2 linked regions of the Tamandua tetradactyla genome follow. The protein of the gene in region 1 interacts with the protein of each later gene in a pairwise test. Links are inferred from orthologs where the notes say so. Each region holds a gene or a part of one and is shown in the gene's direction. Other genes may lie near its edges.

Region 1 (10,779 bases):
TGGATGGACAGCAAGTGAACAGAGAGTCAAACAGATGGATGGATGGATGGATGGAGAGATACAGCAAATGTGGCAAAATACTAAAATAGGTGAATCTGGTATCTGGGGCGGGTTTATGTCGGAGTTTTGTCTGTGGAATTTGCATTATTATTACAACTGTCTTGTAAATTTGAAATTATTTCAAGATAAAAAGTTTGAAGCTCTCCTTACATTAAAAATAATTAAAAAGAAAGCCGTGAACTCCTGGGGAGGGATGGGGAGTGCGGTGGCAGGGACTGAGGTGGGGCTGTGGGCCAAGGGGATGCATGAGTGAGATGCAAATGCAGGGTCAGCCCTGCATTTAAAATTGTAGTATGTTGTTCATTATAGGTCTTTTCGCATGAATTTGGATTTGTTCAAAATATTGCATCTTTTTGACTTGTTAGAATGAGGAATGTTTACCTTGATGGCTGAGTTTTTTGGCAGCCCTCTTCATTTTATGCATGAGGTGAATGCCAGAGTTCATTAGGAAAGTCACTAGAAGTCTCATTGAGAAGGTTACTTTTCAGCCATGACTGGAAGGAGATGAAGGAATTAGCCAAGCTAATTGGGGAAGAATGTTCGAGGTAGGGAATGGCCTGTGCAAACACCCTGAGGCAGGACTGGGCCTGGGTGCTGGAGGAGCAGCGAGGAGGTCCCAGTGGCTGGAACCCTGGGAGCAAGGGGGGAGCGCGGGGGAGGAAAAGGCAAGGAGTGTGGGGCTTGGTAGGTTACAAGGAAGCTTTGGGCTTTTCCCCTTTGAGGGAGGTAGGAACCATGGAGGGCTGTGGGCAGAGGGGGGACGGGCCCTGATTGGAGTTTTTTTAAAAGACTGTCAGCATCCATCTATGGGTGAAAGTCACCCTGGCAACATGAGAGATGACTCCCAGAGATGAGCCTGGCCCCGGCACTGTGGGATCAACAATTCCATCCTGACCAAAAGGGGGAAAAGAAGTGTAACTAATAAAGTATCAGTGGCAGAGAGAGTTCAAATAGAGTCGAGAGGCTACTCTGGAGGTTGCTTTTACACAAGCTTCAGTTAGACCTTACTACCTATCATAACTTGCCAAATCTCAACCAGGACCATTCCAACCAATCCTAAAGAAAACTAGGGCAATATATAAGATTCCACAAGGGTTCCATGCACTAGGGTAACTTTCCAGAAACCTACAACCTCCAGATGGGGCCCTGGACCAGATAAAGCCTGAAACTTAGAGGGCCCAGCCTCTCCAGAATATCAACTAGTTCCATCTCCTTAACCCATATTATTGACAGCCCCTTCCAACATGAAGAAGTTAGAATGGCCATTGCCCAAATACCCCTAAAGAATGGGACAGAAAGATCAAAGGTGATGGTGGAGTCATATAGAGAAAGCAGAATTTAACAAATGAATATGATTGCTGAATCTTTAAATTGATATGTCTTTTAGTCTCCAGTATCTTAGAGCAACTAGAAGTAAAAACCTAAAAGTGTGGAATTGTAACCCATACCAAACTCTGAAATCTGTTCTCCAACTAATTATTGTGCTGTGCTTTGACATTTACTGCTTTTTTGTATATACGTTAGTTTTCACAAAAAAAGGAAAAAAAAAGTCAATTGTGGCGATAAAAAAATATTTATTCCTTCTAGCCTCCTAAATTCTGGAGCAGCTAGAAGGACAAATCTGAGAGGATAGTTTTGTAGCCCATGACAGACTCTGGGATCTGTCCTATAATTACTTGTTGAAGTGTGCTTTGAAAACTTGCTTTTTTCTTTCTTTGCTTTGTATATATGTTACACTATACAATTTTAAAAGTTTTTTTTTAAAAAAAGGTCAGCATCATGAAAGCAGGGATCACGGTCACTGCTATAAACCCCCACTTAGACCCATGCCTGGCATACAGTAGGTGCTCAATAAATGCTTACCAAGGGATTCAATGAATAATAGCTCCACGATGGGGCTGAGGATGAGGGGAATGCGCCGGGTGGTAAACTCATACTGCCTGGGGTCACCTGGCCAGGTAGCAGCAGACAGGGGTCAGAGTTGGGGGGACTTGAACCCAAAGCCGACAGCTGAGGTCCAGGCCCCCACCAGGTCCTTCCTGGGCCTCATGCCACCTGTTTGCTCCCACCTCTGACTGATGACCACATAGCTCCCTCCATCCATCACAGCGGGAAAGATGGTCCCAGAGGGTGGGAGACAGCAGACAGAAGCCATGCCCACCCCCTCCCACCCCCTCCTTGGCCCTGGACCTGATGCTAAGAGCCCCAGAGGTGGACATGTGGGGGTGGGGAAGCAGGCCTGCCACCTAGGGCACTGTCCTCTCCCAAAGCCCCCAAATCACACAATCGAATCTATTTCCCCCTTAAAGAGCTTCGGCTTTGAGTGATGACAACATTTTCCTCAAGGAAGGTGGTGGTGGCAGCACCCCACTGTAAAAGAAACTGATGCCACTGAATTGGACACTTAACAACGGTTCCAGTGGCACATTTCACGTATTATAGGCGGTTCCACAATTAAAAAAAAAAAAATGACTCCCTCCAAGGTTTCAGCTTTTTACCCTTTCTCTTTCCCTCCAGGCCCATGTGGATTTTTTTGTGGTCCCCAAAATTCCTCCTTATTCTGGGCTCAGCCCAGGCCTGTCTTTTTTCCAGCCTTGGTCTCCTGGCCTCCTGCCTTCCCTTCCTCTGTTCAGGCCGCCAGCTGGAACCTTCTACACCTAGTCTGGATCAAGTCGGAACCTTCTACACCCAGCCTGGGTCAAGTCTCCCAGCTGCTGTAACTCAGTGGTTCTCAACTGGGGTGATATTATCTCCCCCAGGGGACACTTAACGAGATCTGGAGATATTTTTGGTGGTCAGGACTGGGGATGGGGATGCCCCCGGCATCTGGCAGATGGACGCCAGGGAGGCTTGCTCAACACCCTAAAAGGCCCAGGACGCTCCCCACCCCAGCTAAGAATGATCCTGCCCCAAATGTCAGCAGGGCAGAGGCTGAGGCCCCTGCTCTAAAACCCCCCATGGCTCTCCAGTACCCTCAGAGTAAAATTCCAGTTCCTTAGCCCAGGATGCGGGGCCCTGTGTGGCCCCTGACCCTCTCCAGCCAGTTTTCCCACCCACCCTGACCTGTTTTCCTGCCTCTCCCTCCCTCTGAAGGGCAGGATTTTGTAGTAGCCAAGGGCTCAAGCACCTGGGTTTAAATCCCGGCCTTGCCATCTACCAGCTGTGTGACTTTAGCCAAGTTATTTAACCTCTCTGTGCCTTGGTTTTCCCGTTTCTAAAATGGGCATGACAGCAATAACTAAGACTTAAAGGGCTTAAGAAAAAGTCTGGAATGAGCTGGGACTCAGCATCAAGGGATTGTGAAAACCTTGACCAAAAGAGGGAAGAGAGAAATGAGACAAAATAAAGTGTCAATGGCTGAGAGAGGTCATCCTGGAGGTTATTCTTACGCATTATATAGAAATCACCTTTTTAGTTAAGGTGTAATGGAGAGGCTGGAGGGAACTGCCTGAAAATGTAGAGCTGTGTTCCAGTAGCCATGTCTCTTGAAGATGATTGTATAATGATATAGCTTTCACAGTGTGACTGTGTGATTGTGAAAACCTTGTGTCTAATGCTCCTTTTATCTACCTTATCAACAGATGAGTAAAACATAAGGAATAAAAATAAAAATAAATAATAGGGGGAACAAATTGTTGAAATAAATTTAATTTAGAAGATTGAAATGCTAGTGATCAATGAAAGGGAGGGGTAAGGGGTATGGTGTGTATGAATTTTTTTCTTTTTTTTAATTTCTTTTTCTGAATTATGCAAATGTTCTAAGAAATCATCATGATGATGAATATGCAAATATGTGACGATATTGTGAGTTATTGATTATATATCAAGAATGGAATGATCGTATGGTAAGAATGTTTGTGTTTATATGTTGTTGTGTTTAAAAAATAAATTAATTAATTAAATAAAAAAGAAGAAAGCATCTGGAGCATAGTAAAACCATGTAAGTTGGGTGGTTTATTATTACTTATAGTTTGGGCCACACTTCTTGACTTATCTACACACTGGAAACTCCTTCTTCTGAAAATGACTTCCCCTTTCAAAGGCAAAACCTGGGGTCCTTCTCTGTGGCCTAGCCCCAACCCCCTGGGACTCGGGGTGTCTGTATTGGGTTCTGCCTTCCCCCGACGATGGGGGTGTTGCCTCTGTGAGGCTCAGATCCAGGGGACACCCAGAAGAAAGAGCATCTGGTTGCCATGGTGAGGGGGTGGGGACAGGAATTGGGGCAAGGCTGATTTCATGGGCCCCGAAGGGCCTCCAGTCTGGTTTACCTCCCCAATACTGCCATCTGGGTATTCTAAATACTTTTTCAAGAAGGGGACCTGTAATTTTCATTTTGCCCTAGGGGAGGCCCCCCACAAATTCCGTAGCCAAGTCTGGTTCAGGGGTTCCGTTCACTCTGTGGGTTCCGCTGATTCCAGAAACTGACAAGAATATCAAGGAACTTTACTAAAGTCTGTTTTTTTGCTTAGTGTCAGGACCGAGGACAGCTTTGCATTTGCCCAATATGCCTGGTCCTCTCATCCTAATCCTGGCCCTTTTCAGATTCTGTCTTTATGCATGATGTTGACATCTTGTTCATCTTGCGTGGATTTTTATTTTAAAAAATACCACATTAAAATATCTTTTATCTTACACGCGCACAATGGAATATTATTGTACCTTAAAAAGGAGCGCAGCTCTGATAGGTGCTATAAAGTGCGTGAACCTCGACGTCACGTTGAGTGAAAGAAGCCAGGCACAAAAGGACAAATATCATATGATCCCACTGATAGGAAATTATTTGAATATGCAAATTGCTAGAGTCAGAAATTAGAATACCCGTCTACCATGGGGTGGGAAATGGGGAGTTCATGGGGAAGGCATGGAAAAGTTTTTGAGGGGATGACGCAGCACATTATGAAGATAACACCACCGAACTGTATACTTGAAAGCGGTTGAAACAGGAGATGTTATGTTGTATTTCCATTAGCACGATAATATTTTTTTAAATAAGCACAAGAAAAAGGAACATGTATGTGCATTATCTGAACAGCTTCAGTGAGGAGACTCTCAAAACCAGGGACAGCTACCCCCTCCCCCTCCCAGGGAGCCCACTTCCCTGAGTACAAGCCTAATAATTCCTCCCCATAACCCATAAAGTCTTGCAAACGTGCTCATCACCTCCTTGTAGGGACCAGCTACATAATTTGCACATCCGAATGCAAAAGGAAGCTGCAAGGCTTTTGTTCAAAAATTATGAAGAATGTCAAGAGGCCAGGGCAGAACATAAAACCTCCCTACCCTAGTCTCTTCCTCCATTCTCCCAGCGCCAGGCCCCATCCTGCCTCAGGGCCTTTGCACTGGCTGTAACAGTTCTCTGAATCTGCTCCTCCCAGCATATCCCCATACCCCTATGGGCTCCCAGCCTCTCCTTCTTCAGGTTTGCGAGTCCCTCTCTGATCTCCCCCTATTTAAACTGTGCCCTCTCATTGCCATCTGCACCCAAGAATTTGACCAGTGTATTTGTTCTTTGTGCGCCTGTGTCACCTCCCCTCCGTGGCCTTGGCACACAGTAGGCGCTCAATAAACGCCTGCCACAGTTACCACCGACTGCTCTGACAACGACGAAGAAACTGAGGCCCACAGAGGTTGGCCGCTGGGCCAAGGTCATCGAGTCCAGGTCACGCCATTGTGGTGCCCGTGGCTAGGAGGCTGGCAGTCCGGCCCTTTCTTTGACAGGTGGGGAAACCGAGGCGCAGCAGGCGTGAGGAGCATCCCACCCCCCACCCCCAACCCCTCACCCCGGCCCGGCTGGCTGGGAGCCCAGGGCGGTGGACGCGCCGTGTCCAAGGTCACCGTGCCGGGCCGGCCCCGGGGAGGGCGGGCTGGGGGGGGGTGGGGGGGAAGTGGTGGGGTGGGGGGGAGAGGCAGGCGGGGGTGGGGATCCGCAGGCCTCCCCGGGCGCGCGCTCCCCCCCCTTCGGCGGCGCGCACGGGGCACGGGAAGCAGCAGCAGCAGCAGCAGCAGCAGCAGCAGCAGCAGCAGGTGGAGCCGGAGCCTCCGCAGCGCCGAGGCCGCGGCCGCTGCCGGCGTCGCCGCCATTAGACAATAGGAGCGGAGGCCGCGAGTGCGGGGCGGGGCGGGAGGGAGCCCGGCGCGCAGGAAGCGGGGCCCGGGGCGCGCCGGGGCCGGGCGCGCGGGGAGGGGGCGCAGGAAGCGGGCGAGGCCGGGCGCGGGAGGCGGCGGCGGCGGCGGCGGCGGCCCCGGGAGCTGCCGATCGGCGCCGGGACAAAGGCGCGGCCGCCCGGCGCCCGGAGCCGCCCGAGCCGGGGGCGCACAGCCGGGGCGCATTGCGCGCCCCCCCGCCGCGACTGACATGATGTTTCCACAAAGCAGGCATTCGGTAAGCGGGGCCCGCTCGGCCCGGCTCCCCCTTCCCCCCACCTCCATGCCTGCTCCGGGGCCCGGTTCCCTTCGGCGCTCTAGCCCTCCACCCCCCACCCCACCCCACCATCAGCTCCGGGGCCCCGCACCCCCCACCGAGCCAGGCCTTGGCCTCGGGCGCTCCGGGAGCCCCGTCGGCACCCGTGGCGCTGGAGATCGTTTTGGGGCCTGCGGGGTGGGGGGGCGGGGTGGGGGGGGGCGGGAAGGGCGAACCAAGGGGCACCCCTCCCGGAAGAACGCCGCCTCGGGAAGGGCAATGGAGCTCTGGAGTGGGTGTCCCCCCACCCCCGCCCCGGAAGATTCGGGCGCTGGGAGAGGCCCTTCCTGTAAGGAGACTTTGCAGGGAGGCCTCTCCCCCCCACCCCCCCCCAGTTCTAGCTCGAGGAGGGGACTTTCTAGGACGCGTCCTTTACCTCCCCCTCCACCAGGGGCGGTTAGGGCGCTCGGATGTGCATCCCCGCTCCCCCCCCTCCCTCCACTCCCGGGGAGCTTTGGAGGAGCTGTAGAGGGCGCACCCTGCCCCCACCAAGGGCGGGCCTTAAAACGCACCCCCACAATCGGGGGTGGCGGGGGACTAGGCGGCTGCGGGCGCACCCTACCCCTCGGCTTCCCCCGGGAGAGGCGGGGGCAGGAAGCGGGGGCAGGGGCCGCGCTGGGGGCTGTAAACACGGGCCCAGGAAGTGGGGCAGGAGCGGGGGTGGGGGCGGTTGGAGGGCGGAGGGGGCGCGCTGCAGCTGCGGCAATCGCCGCCTCCCGGCCGGCCCGCGCGGAATTGGAAGGGAGGGTGGCCGGGCCCCCTCCTGGCGGTGAACCGGGCGGCCCCCTCCCCGCAGGGCTCTTCGCACCTACCCCAGCAACTCAAATTCACCACTTCGGACTCCTGCGACCGCATCAAAGATGAGTTCCAGCTGCTGCAGGCCCAGTACCACAGGTGAGCCGCGGGCAGGGGTCCCAGGCTCTGGGTCGAGGGCGGGGGTGGGGGTGGGGGTGGAAATGTGTCTGAATCCTACTCCCCTCCCTTGTACGGAGGGCAAGAAGGAGGCCTGGAGCCGAGATCTTGGCCTCTGTTAATAGACTTATGCAAACAATGCAATCATAGTGGCTCTCATTACAGCCACCCCATTCCTACCAAGTCCTGAGTACCTTACCGATATTGATATTAATTCGTATATTTTTAAAAACTGCCTCATCTCACGGATAAGAAAAATAAGGCACGAAAAAAGTTAAAAGATATGCCTGGCCTTGCAGCTGTCTGGCTTCAGAGCCCCAATTCCACCATCCCTAATGGATAAAAGACCTCTGAACAACTGAAGTTCCGGGATAGAACCCCCTGCCCCAGTCCCCCTAAAATGCTCTCTGCCAAGATTTGGGGAGAGGGTTCCTGGTTTCCAGCAGATTCTCAAAGCTGAGTCTGTGGCCCGAATTTCATCTAACATTTCTAAAAGGCCTGCCATGTGTCAGGTCTAAGTGGATGGAGCTTTTCCTTTCTTCCCATTAGGCTTAGGAAAAATTAAACCCAGAGAGGTTAGGGGATTCCTCCAGGATGCACAGCAAGCACGAAGAAGTAGTGAAGCTGAGATTTTGAACCCAGTCTAAGAAAGCAAATTCTCAACCTCTCTGCCCTGGTGGGTGGGGACTGGTCTGGGAATCAGGAGTTCCATGGTCACAGAGCCCAGTAAGACCCTGGGCCATCTCTGGGACTTAGTTTATGCACTCATAAAAGTGATCTTTGAAAGATCCTGGATTTTTTCTAGGAAAAAGTGGGAAGGCCGATTTTTTTTAGTGCAAATATCCACCCTTTTGGGGTTGTCCCGTATGCTAAGCACTGAACATGTTCCCTCTTGTTTAGTCCACCCCACTGTGTTGCATGCTGTCCATTATAAAGATAGGGAAACTGAGGCATAGAGGGTTGAAAGCATTGGAGGGTGTGGGGGCTTTGCCTGGTAGACCTGGACATTCTGGGTCCAAAGGGGGGCAGTTTCTCCCGCCACCCTAGCCCATGCCCACCTCACCCTGAGTACCCCAGGTATAGTCCCAGTACTGTCACCTCAGGCCCGCTGGACCCCCTTCTAAGCTTTTGCATCTCCTGCTAGGCCTGGGTGACCCATGAGGGGCTTTCCCTTTTCGGGGGCACATACAGGACCTGCCAAGCAGGACCAGCCCAGTTTCACCAGATTGTCTGGCCGGTTCATCAAGAATGGCCGGAAGTCCTGAGAGTGGGGATGAAATTGCCTGAGTTGTTTTGCTTTTGTGGTTTTTTTTTTTTTTTCTGGCAACAATTGCACACTTTTAAAAGAAACTCAGAGAAAACCAACTTTAGCGGGGGCCAAAGAAACTCCAACCTTGGGCATGTTCACATCGCGGGCCATGTCACGGTGTAAAATACCGGTGTCCCGAGGTGGTGAGAAGATGAAGCTGCGTTAATTGAGCGCTTACTGTGTGCCAGGCACTGTTCAAAGAGGTCTCCTCGTCTTAATTCACTTTAATCCTGCAAACCATCTTGGGAGGTCGGTACTTTGCAGATGAGTAAATGGAGGCTCAGTGAGGGAGGAAAATTTGTCCAGGGTCACACTGCAAGGAATTGGCAGGGTGAGTTTTGAACCCGGGCCCTGTGGCTGGGGAGCCTGTGCTTTGAACCACTCTCTGTCTCTTGTACAACCAGGGGTGACAAAGGTAGACCCTGCATACCCCTTGCTGGATCAGATTTAATGGAGTAAAGGAAAGAGGCTCGCCACCCCCTCCCCCCCCACCCCACCCCTGGGCCTTTTCTCAGCTGATTGACATCATTGCTAACTCTCTCCTTCCTGCTCCGAGGCCCTTGTGGGGGAAATACCCACAGCTTATCTTTGCTGGGGGAGCCAGAGAGAGGCAAGATAAAGTTTTATAGAACCTACCATGGTGGAAGTGATGCAGTTTTTTCCCAGTTAGAGAAAGGAACAGGGTTGGGGGCTCTGAGCTGGTCCAGTCCCCTCCCCATTTTACCCCTCAGGGAAATAAGGTGGGCCCAGGGCCACAAATCCCAGTGGGGGCTTTGTGTCCTGTCTGGGTCTCCTTGGACCCACCCACAAACGTGGTGGGACCACTTGAAGATCCCCAGTTGCGTTCAGGCAGGAGCTGACCCTCCCCTCCCACCCTCCCAGACCGCTCCTTGATCCCTGTCACTATTTCTGCAGTTTCTCACAATGACGAGGTTTGTGGCCTCTGAAGCCGGCCTCGCTATGCTTCCTGGCTGTGTGGCCTTGAACCACTTACTCAACCTCTCTGGGCATCATCTGGAAAAAAAAACAAGAGTCGTGATAATTCTGCCAGCCTTTCAGACCATTTCACAAGGATTGATTGAATGAGCTGCAGTCCCTGTCTTGATATAGAGGCAGTGCGTTTGTTCTCATTCTTCTGATCTCGTATTGTGATTTACTTCCTTCATCAGCAGCCTGGAAGGCTGGTCTCATGTCCCCATTTTATAGCCAGGGAAGCTGAGTCTCACGGCTCTTTGCCCAGCATCACCAAGAGCTCAAAAGCCATCAGTTCCCGAGTTCAGCAGATTGTGTTTGGCCATCGTTAAGGTCTGTGGCTTCACTGTGAAGGCCCAGGCTGATCTTAAGCTGTACCGAGGACTTGGCTGGGGACATGGGGAGCTCCCCAAGTGTCCTTGAAGCCTCAGTTTCCTCTCCTGCACCACAGGGGAGCCTGAGCCTAGCCTCTGACCTGTATCCCTGCACCCCTTCCTCCTTCTTCAGCCTGAAACTCGAATGTGACAAGCTGGCCAGCGAGAAGTCGGAGATGCAGCGCCACTATGTGATGGTAAAGTCCCCCAGCCCAGCGGGCAGAGATGGGGGCACGGGACGGGGGATGGACCCCAGACCCAACCCCACCCCAGTACAGCTGCCGCTTAAAAAAAACCCTGGCTGCCTTCTCTGTGGAGTCCGAGATTCAGGGGCTGCCCTCCATCCAGCTGGCCCCTGCAGGGCTGAGCCCGCCTTGCTGGCCTGGCTGCCGGCCGAGGCAGTGGCCGGAGGTGCCAAACCACCGGATTGTAGTCTGGGCCTGCCAGGTCCCCCGGCTGTCCTTGGCAGCTGCCGCACCACCGGCTGTGGCCGTGAAAAGTGGGGGAGCAGCTGGCCCCTCCTGCTCCTGCCCCCCCAAGGTTCTCTGGGCAGCCAAATGCTTAACCCCTTCACACCCAAGCCGTGGAGGGAGAGCGCCCAGGCCTGAAGGCTGACACACTTCTCCTGCCCTGTTCTCCCGGGGGTGGCCCTGCATTCCGTGGCCTGACACTTGGGGCCTTGCCCATCTGAA
Region 2 (10,478 bases), on another chromosome or scaffold:
GTGGTTCTGAGGCCCTTGCACCCTGAAATGAGCGGTGCTCTCTCTCCCTTCCTTCTGGCCCCTGTCCTTGCTGCTTACTTTGCCTGGGAAGCCCTACTCCTCCTGTGCTGGAGTTCTCCTATTTGTCCTTCAAAATTCAGCCCAGGTATCAGCTTTTACAAGCAGTCATCACCAGAGCCAGTCAGAATGCCTGGTGCATGGTGGACATTCAATTGATATTTACTGAATGAATGGATGGATGCATGCATGCTTGAGTAGGTGCTCAGCAATGTTTGTGGAATGGACCCAAAGGTATCTCTCTTAGACTTCATTATCTGAGTTCCTTAAAGAAATGCCTTTTCTGAGTTATGATTTAATGTTTTGCACTCTGCCTTCAGAGAACCCTCATGTGAGAAACTGACCAACTTAACGGCATTTCTGTCTTTTATGAAAACAGAATTGAATATATTGCCCACCGTATCACTCAGTGTCCTTTATACAAGGACTCATGATAAATTCATGCTTGGGGTTATTTCCAGGAAACATTTTTTGTCTCTGCAGATGAAGATTTTCTCCTGTCAGAAAATAAAAAACTGTGCCATCTGACATGTTTCCATTTTTGCTTTACTGACAAATAAGGATACCCAATTTTATTACCCTTTACCTCTATGTGATCTGACCAATTCAGTTACCTGGAAGTAGCAGCTCTTTCTGTTTTCTTTAGATCGGGTTAGATCTGGCTTTAATCTTCGATGCCAAATTTTGTGCTTTTTAATCTGAAAGCCACTCCTAAATAAATGTGCACTGATGATCAATATCCTGCATGGAGGGTATGGAAGAAGGAACCAAGCATCAAGATTCTGGTTGAGATTGATTTAGAACCTCTGTAGGAGTTCTTGGGGCATCTATTATGACTAGAGTCTGGCTTAGTGGAGAAAACCAAAGTAGGAAGCCAGAGGGTCTACTGGGTCCTGACTTAGATGCTCCCTTACTGGGCCACTACTGCTGACTCATATTCTTTTCTGTCCCTAGCCATGGCCTTCTTTTCTCCAACTGTAAATGGTAATCTTATAGTATGCCATTTTCATATTACATGGTTGTTAATAATAAAAGCTAATGATAAGAATAACTATAATTATCAATATCTTTTATTAAGGGTTCACAGAACCAGGCACTGTGCTGAGGACTTTACGCACATTTCCCCATTTGGACACACACCCCCTTCCCTACAACCCAAACTTGTCTGTATTGTTTTTATCACTTTGCAATGAAGAAATTCCAGAGCATGTGTGAAACCTCCAGTTAGTAAGTAGCAGAGGAGAAAGTCAAATTCAAGTATGTCAGCTGCCACCTCCCAAGCTCTTAACCACTTCTTCATATATGGGCAAGAAATCAAGACAATAATAAGGGATAAAACTCCCCTAGAAAATGGCAGGGATTGCTCATGGTCACCAGAAGGGGAACCCACAGAGTCACAGTTTTTCTTCTTGAAGACATATCTTTTAAAAAACCAGACTCTGCAGCCCAGTCTGGTTGCTGGGACATGCAGGGGAGGCCCATTCCCAAGAAACATGTTTGCAACCTCCTCTTCCTTCAGTTCTGATGGTCTGTCTCTGAAGAAATCTGGCTAGGACCTACCTCTGCATGGGCCCCGCTCCTGAGCTGTTTGACCCAGTAAGCATACTAGACAGGGTAACTGGGGTCTCTCCCATTTTTAGGGACCTACAAAAAAGTTTTAGGCCTGAAAATGTCATTATTAGCTTCAAAATACAAAGAGGAAAACCTGCAACATTTAAATCATTAAATAATTAAGTGCAAAATGTAACATTATGTTAAGTTCATTAACTGTTGAATTCAGTCATAAAAATTTCATTACATTTGATAAGAGTTTGTAGTTTGGATTTTTCTCACTGTGCAAGATATCCTGAGTAGGCACTGAGACTGGTGAGAAATCATAGCCAATCGTACATGAAATATATTACTCATGGCCCCAAATTTTCAAACGCAAAATGGAAAAACCCTCTCAATTTTCTTTACAGCCAAAACGTTGTATTTTGGAGGCGAGGTGGATGTGTTTGAAACATATTAGATGCAGATTGGAGCCTGTAAGAGTAAGCAGACTTAAGCCCACAAATACCTTAAAAGAGCCCAGGCTGTGTGCTCACCTTTCTGGATTCTCCAACCCAGCAGCTTTGTGTTGGAGGTGGAAGCTAGGTGAGTGCAGGCTTTGGCTGAAAGATATGTGAAAAGGATTGCCTTCTTCGGAGGCATTCCTAGAGCCAAATAGGAAAGTAAGAATTCCAGAACCCTAAATAATCATAGCTGACATTCGTTGGGTACCTAGCATGTGCCAAGCTAACTAGTCTAAATACTTTACATGTATTATCAATTATCATGAACAACTCTGTGAGGTCAGTATTTTTATTATCTCTGGCTCATAAATGAGCAAATAATCCTAGAAAGGTTAAACAACCTGCTCTGGGTAATATGGTTAGTGAGGAGTAAATTAAGAATCTTTCCAAGCTAAAAATAATTCAGAGATGAAAGGCTGTCTGTTAACATCTAATGAGTCATTTCAAGCTCTAAGAAGGAAGGGACCAAGCCAGTCTTCTTCACTATCTATCTTCAGCACCCCAAACAGTACCGGGCACATACATCTGTGTTGAACAGAGACTGGAATAGCATTTATCAAACCCGTGCTGTACTCCAGGGCACTTATAGAATGCTTGTACCTCCTTTGTTAGACTGTGACTTTGTTTAGAGCAGAGGTCTCATTCACCCTAACTCCTGTGTCTCACACAGTCTTGGCCCATGGTAGGTGCTCAAAAACCTACTTTTTGTAGATCCCTAAAAATGGGGGAGACCCCAGTTACCCTGTCTAGTATGCTTACTGGGTCAAACAACCATGCAGAGGTAGGTCCTAGCCAGATTTCTTCAGAGACAGACCATCAGAACTGAAGCAAGAGGAGGTTGCAAACATGTTTCCTGGGAATGGGCCTCCCCTGTATGTCCCAGCAACCAGACTGGGCTGCAGAGTCTGGTTTTTTAAAAGATATGTCTTCAAGAAGAAAAACTGTGACTCTGTGGGTTTCCCTTCTGGAGACCATGAAGGCCAGCTTAAATGAGGCCTGGTGTCCATTTCTCTGCCACAGAGCAATTTCCTGTACAACTGAAAATACAGCGAATATTCTCCTTTTTGCATGGCACAAAGTCTTGTTATTCAGGAACTCCAGAGACACACAGTCCAATATAATCAGAGAAAACTAATACACAGCATGTTTATATGCTTCTTATTTGCCAGGTGTTGTTCTAGGAACTAGCCATGTGGTAAGCAATTATTTAGTAATAGAACATTTATAACAATTCTACAAAGCAGGTGTTCTTTATCATTCTCATTTTACAGATGTGGCAACTGAAGCACAGAGAGGTTAAGTAACTTGCCTGAGTTTACGCTGCTAGAACTCAGAATTTGAACCCAGGCAGTCTGTCCTAGAGCCTATATGATCACGGAAATGTCTCCTGTGCTAGTATTCTAAAACTAACCACATGTGGCTGTTGGGCACTTGAACCGTGGCTAGTACAACTGAGAAGCTGAATATCTAATTTTATGTACATTGAATTAATTAAACCCAAATAGCCACATGTGACCAGGGGTTACTGTATAGCACACAGTTTATATTATCTCTAAGTGTATCAGTTAAGGTCTGCAGCATCTTCTGGAAGCCTCAGTTGTGTGCTCCAAGAAACATCCTTATCATTGTTCCCTGTCCCGTGTCTCCTGCTAAAGGGGAGAGAGGGCAGAAGGAGTAAGTGAGCTGGCTAACTTTCCAGGATCCCATGGCCTGGGTAGTGCAGGGTAGCTGGTGTTCTGCTCTAAGCATAGGTGTTAGCCAACCAAATGCCAAGTAGCACAAACACTGAGTGACATTTTCAGAACTATTAATATTTCATCAGAAATTATCACTTTGCCTTTAAATACACTATCTTAAAAGGTTTTCTACATTCTTAACTATAATTTTATTCAGTCTAGGTCCTTGGAATTTTCCCCAAAGGAACACGTTTTCAATTTTATAATGAAAATCAAAGAGGGATGAAGCTCGGATTTCAAAATTGAGTCAACATTTCCAGGAACTCAGCCTCTCTGTAAAGAGCAAGGTAGTGTATTGGGCACCTACTATATGCCAGACACTTAACATATAGTATACCATTAATTCACTCAACACATATTTACTAAGTGCCCACTATGTGCTGGAAATTTGAGTCTCATATAATTTATTATGGTTTACTGTCACCATTTTACAGGAAAAACTCTCTCTCATCCTTCCTGCCATCTCAAAAGTTATGTCCTCAAAGAAGTCTACTGGACCATCGTCTTATGGGGACCCACCTACTCCCCATTGCCTCACTTTGTTCTTTTCCGTCCCAGCCCTATTGATCCATAAATATTGTTTATTTTTTGCTTTGCCAAGTCTGTGTGATCTATCATCCTTCCCTGGAATACAGGATCAGGTGAGCTCTTTTGTTCATTTTCGTGTTTCCTCAGTGCCCAGCAAGGGCCAGAGGAAGGGCTAATCAATATTTAGTGAATGAATGAGTACATAAGATGGGAGAAGTTAAGCAAGTCGATCCAGGTCCCACACCTTGGAAGTGGCAGTGCCAGGAGTCAGTCCAGCTCCATGTCTATAGGCTGCCTTCTCGTTTATTTGTATCCATTCCATTTTCTTCTTTCTCTGCCTTCTTACTCTTCCTTCTCAGAGGAAACAACCCGAGGAACAACCACTAACTCCTGGGGCTGGAGGGCCTGGGGCAGAAGTCTTGGGTCATTTCCGAATGTAATAAAACAGTTTCAATGAGAGCAGAAGCTACCTGACTAGCAAACTGCACACTTGGCCCTTCTCTCTGCACCTCCGCACCCCCCACCGCCGCCCATTCCCAGGACGCGTGGAAGCCCAGCGCGGGAAGGAAGAGGCTCTCCCGGGGATCAGAGCGCGGGCGCAGGCCTCGAGTGCCTGGGTTTGAATCCCAGCGCCCGTTTTCGCTGTGGGCCTTCAACTCATCCGTTTATGACCGTGAGACTGTTTCTGCATATGGGGAACGATAATAAAGACACGGTATTAACTGCGTGAGTTTGCAGAGATTGTGTATGATGACACGGAGAGCTCAGCGCTCGGCACACAGGAAGTGCCCATAAAATGGCACTTAGGGTTATAATCGGGCGATGTGGAGGAGCACGGCCCGCTGGCTGGCGCCGAGGTTCCTGCGGAGCAGCGGGGAGAGGAGTAGCAGGGTGAGAGGCTGCCCCGCTTTCTTGGATTTCTAAGAAGGGAAAGTGCCCGGGACCCTCGGGGCGCCCCCGCCCCCACCGCGGCGGCCTGAGGGCCTCGGACGCCGAACCCCCGCGGCCCGCGCCCCGAGCCGTTGCGTTTGAAAGCCACAGAAGGAGTTGCAGCGCTGGACGGGAAGGGTGTGAGGGCCGCTGGCACGCAGATAGGCCAAAGCCGCCCCGCCCTGCCCGCCCTGCCCGACAGCGCCCCTTTAAAGCGTCGGGACCCTTCCGGGGGCCCAGCCCGGCCTCCTGGCGCGGGGGGCGCGACCGGCGTCTGCTGGGGCTGCCGGGGGCGGCTTGCGGGCCGCCCGGATTGACTGACTCAAGTTTTCTTGCCCCGGGGCGGCAGAGCAGCCTCTGGAGAAGGCGACAGAAGGGGGTGGGGGGCGAGCAAAGGCGGGCACTCGGTGGGGAGAGGGGGTCAGGGGCCGTTGGCCCTCGGCCTGGGAAGGCCGGAGCTGAGATTCTAAAGGCGGGCTCCTGCCCCCACCGGGCCTAGCCCGGAGCCAGGCGCCTCACCACTCCCCCCCTCCCCGTGGCTTAGTAGGAGAGGATGGGCTGAGCCCCAGGCGCCGCCAGGTGTCAGGGGTGTGTCGCAAGGGTGGAGCGCCTGGGATTCTGGGGAGAGCCAGCCCTCCCCCTCCAGCCGTTCCCAGATGTCCTTCTGCCCGCCCAAGCGCCTGGTTCCTGAGCTCCGGGGGATTCCACGGTTACTAAGCTACTGGTTTTTGTTGACTTTTAAATATTTTCTTCTAAGGGAGAGGGGGAGGGGGACAAAAGTCAGGGAAGAGCAGATACAAACAAATCAAACTAAGCTCCCCCTCCCCAAAAGAAAGCCGTCCTCTACCCACCACTCACAGACAAATCAGGGGCCTCAGAACATAGTCACCTCGTCCAAGCAACGGCCAGCCAGAACTGACCTGCCTCTGCCAGTGCCCATCCTTATCTCCCTTTCTGGTGAATGAAGGGTGGTGGCGGATGGTCCCTCTGTCTGCGAGCCCTGGGCAGACAAAGGGGCTTCCGGAAGGAAAGGACGAGAATGGCCAGTGGGAATGGATTCCCTTCATCCTCGGCCCTGATGGCCAAGCGCCCCTCCGCCCTGGGCCCATTCCCCAGATACATCTGGATCCACCAGGACACACCCCAAGACAGCCTAGACAAGACTTGCCATGAAATCTGGAAGAGGGTTCAGGGTCTGCAGGAGGCCTTGCAGCCCAGGACCTCAACGGAGCAGCCCTCTGCCCCCATGGCTGGGACTCCACGAGATAACAGGCTCAGCTTCCAAGAAGAGTGAGTGTACCCCTGCTTGGTTGGCATAAGGGAGGAGGGAGGAGATGAGTTCTGACTTTCCGGGGAAATGCTCTTGCCCAATATTCAGTCTGATTAAACCCTAAAGACTATATACTTTTCCTCTACCCTTCCCCATGGTCTTTTGTTCAGCCTTTCTGGAAGAGCTGTCTTAGGTCTTGACGTTACTGGATGAAGGGCCAGACCAGGGCTGTATTCCAGGCTGCTTCTTCACCAGCCCAGTAAGGGGACATATTTCATCTTCAAGGCATAGCCAAACCAGATTTGGGGTTGAGGTTCCTCAGAAAACGCCCTAGCCAAGGCTGAGGAGCATGTAGATATCTCTTTTGAAGCTTGTGGGCCCCGGAGACCCTTGGCTTTCCCCGGAATCTGACAGAAGATCCTTCTTCTGACCCCCCCCCCCCCAAAGGTTGGGCATTCACACAAGATAAGCCTGGTGGTTTTAAACCACATCTGGAATTCCCTAATACAGGAAGCAGCTGTCCCATTCAGCCTTCACAGAAGCTGCTGCAAAAGCTCACATCAAAATATTTACTGGGAAGGCATTGACATATTCAGAGGACATAATAGAAAATTAAAGTGTGGGAAGAAGGCTGTAAATAGCCCGTTTCCAGGATGGGAAATCCTGTGTCTGGGATACACAGAGCTAAATGTTTCTTTACCAGGGCAAAATTGGACAGATATTGTTGGGAATAGATATTTGCAAGGAGAGAAAGAAGCAGCGAAAAGGAAGAGACCTCATTAAGAAAAAGAAAATAAATTCAGTGTGGCTGTTAATGCCACTGTTGAGCACTTCTTCAGTGCTTTACAACTTCAAAGTGGACCGCAAACATTAATTAATCCTCCTGGAGTCCCGATGAGGCAGGTATTAGTGTCCCCATTTTACAGATGGATTAAGTGTTAACAGTTAAGTGCTAATTAAAGACTAAGCGATAATTAAGTGTTGTCTATGCCAACACATGCTCCAGCTCAGTTCAGAGATGCTCTGGAGTGGGGGAACCATGCAGGCAATTATCAGCTGCCTCCAGATTCAGGGATCTCCAAGCAAGAGCTAAGGAGAAAAGCAAACTATAGCTGCTACACAGGTCTGCACTGAATGCTGCACTTACCAACTGGCTGCAGACCAGGGTGGAAGGCACTTTGGCTGCGAATGCCTCCCCTGCCCTATGCTGAGCAGGATAAGGCTTGGATGGGAGTGGCCTGTCTAAAGCCACAGTCGTGCTGTCAGGCCCTCCAGTGGCAATAAGCCTCTCTCCCCTACCCATTGCCATCTGCTCAGAGACAGGGCCTTGGCACAGGGACCCAAGGGACTGTGCTCAGGTCCCATTGGCCAGGCATCCAATTGTCCACTTTGTGGACCAAGGGTCAGTAGCAATTTCCAGTAGGCGGCACACTCCCTGCCAGGTCCCACTGAGTGAATAGAGACAGACTCTCTTCCAGTCTGTACTTGGCCAAAAATTGAACTGGCACACCTTTGACCAGTTGCTTAATTTCATTTGGCCTGGATTTTCTCATCTGCAAATTGAGGATGATGTGTCCTGCCTTGTCCACCTCAGAGTTGATAATGAGGATCAAATATGATGGAAGACAGGAAAACAGAGATGCATTATACTAATGTAGGCTGTCCTTAAAATATAATTCTTGGGTTTGGGCATTTTTGTTGCTGTTGTTATTGTTGACTTCTACCTGGAGTTCTAAACCCATGCTCCACAGACCCTAAGGTGTTGCAGGGGCCACCCAAGAGTCAAGTGGACTGGTTGCTGGGTTCCAGTCCCCACTTCAACCCAGCTGTTCTGTTTTTATTGGTTTTACTTACTGGATTTCTGAGTAAGGCGTTTGAAAAAAGAAAAAAAAAAAAGAGTTCTGCTGCTGAGAGAAGAGCTAGGAAACCACTGGCTTAGATGAATAACGATATCATAAGTGCGTCGATGCCAACCAAGTAGAACACAATGAGCTATTCTTGAAATAAAGTCAGCTGTGATAGTGGAGCCAGACAACTCTGGTTTCAGACCACATTTCAGCCCTGTGCCAGCTGCAGGATTAATGACTCTTTAATTTACCTGAGCTTTGGTTTCCTCATCAGCTTAATGGAAATGACTATCCATTTCATAGGATTATTGGGATGATTAAATATGGTATTTAGAAATTTCTGGCAATAATTCTAATTTGTAAAATCTCCTTGTAATTATGTTGATGATAAATACTTTAAGCCCTCCAATTGTTCCATGATGCAGGTATTATTATTAAACTCCCCTCTTTTATTTTTATTATACATTTTTTCAGATACGTAAAAGTAGAATAGTATAGGGAATGTCTCTGTGTCTATCACTGAGTTTCAATAATTATTACCTTTATGCCATTCTTGTTTCCATTGTCTTTAATGAAATCGTTTTTAAAGTTGAAGCAACTGAAGTTTGGAGGGAGTTAATTTCACTGCACAAAGTTAAGAAGTGGTGGAGTTTTAGAAATCAAACCCAGGGCTGTCTCATGTTGGCTATCTTCCCCCAACAACCTGAGGCATCTTTTTGGGTAGTCAAAATATTTGGAAGTCCCATGTTTTGAATGATCACAGATCAGAAAACAGATTTTAAAGGTGGGGAGCTGTCCAGGGTCCAGAAGACACCTCTCAGTTCATCTTTCCACTGCTTAATTTGTAGACCTTTTTATTTTTTTCCCACATGGGCAGGCACCGGGAATCGAACCCAGATCTCCAGCATGGCAGACGAGAACTCTGCCTGCTAAGTCACTGTGGCCCTCCCATAAACCTTTCTTCGGTGATGTATTCTGCTCTCAGAGCAGCCCGATAAGCAAGTTCTACTACTCTTGTTCACCAGAAACTTTTTCTTGACTCTGAACCTTTATTCCATTCAAACCCAGGCATCTCAAGTTTAGAAGGGATCTTGGCGGTCACCTTCTGCTGCTTGAATCCCTTCCCCAACATTCTTGCCAAGTTGTTATTCACTTGCACACTTTCTTAGAAGAGAGGCTCACCACTTCCAAACATAGTGCCTTCTCTTGCTCTGAACGTTGACTGTCTAAGTTCATTTCCTCCCTGTAATCGAAATGTATCCCTATCAAGCTAATAGTATACCTTAGTATGGATTCTGCTCCTTTGGGATCCAAGTTTTTTCTTTCTTTCTCTCAAGAGTCCTTTAGATATTAAAGCCAGCAACGATGTTCCTCCTAGGATTTTTGTTTCTTTAAGGTAAATGCCTCTGGTTTTCCAAGTTTCCCCTTAGATGCCTACTTGGTCAGTTTCCTGTCTATATTACCCATCCTTGTTTCAGTACGAATTCCAGAACCAAGTGCAGTAATTCAGATATGGCCAAGTCAGCACAGAGTAGAGTTGGATCATTTCCTCCCCATCCATATTCTGAATTCCTGTTAATAGCAATTGAGAATACATTTGCTTTCTTCCCCAAGCCCACATCATTCTGTTTTTTGAATTTATTTATTTATACATTCATTCATTCAACAAATATTCATGAGCATCTACTATGTACCTGCAACAGTGCTAGGAACTAGGGAGATAAGACTCTACCATCCTAGAACCTACGTCCTAGTCAGGGAGAGAGACAGAAAACAAATAAATAAAATGGCTGTGATAATTTCAGGACATGAAAGGACTGGTACTGTAGTTGGAGGAGACAGATAATAAGCATATAAAACATAAACAAGATGATTTCAGATAACAATAATAAAGTAGAGTGATATAATAGCAGAGAGCTTTCTTTGAGGAGGGGCTATTTGGGTTGAGCTCTGGATGCCAAGAAGGAACCAGTCAGGCAAAAATCCAGGAAAGAGCAAGTGCAGAGACCCTGCAGTGGATGTAAGGTTTGGGAGGGACAGTGTGGCTGGAGGGTAA

The links. The genes of interacting proteins can lie anywhere in the genome.
Region 2: the proteins of TLE5 (region 1) and C2H1orf94 interact in binary tests that used the Homo sapiens proteins (3 or more experiments, as listed by UniProt). The two-hybrid records come from large-scale screens. The link is inferred for Tamandua tetradactyla from reciprocal best matches to the Homo sapiens genes TLE5 and C1orf94.

Annotation. Positions count from the first base shown.
Region 1 is NC_135337.1:79,361,104-79,371,882, forward strand, and holds the start of TLE5 (TLE family member 5), read left to right. Parts: upstream 1-6,345; 5' UTR 6,346-6,415; coding exon 6,416-6,442; intron 6,443-7,316; coding exon 7,317-7,414; intron 7,415-10,220; coding exon 10,221-10,284; intron 10,285-10,779. UniProt on the Homo sapiens protein: Transcriptional corepressor. Acts as a dominant repressor towards other family members. Inhibits NF-kappa-B-regulated gene expression. May be required for the initiation and maintenance of the differentiated state.
Region 2 is NC_135328.1:191,530,291-191,540,768, reverse strand, and holds the start of C2H1orf94 (uncharacterized protein C1orf94 homolog), read left to right. Parts: upstream 1-5,407; 5' UTR 5,408-6,266; coding exon 6,267-6,595; intron 6,596-10,478.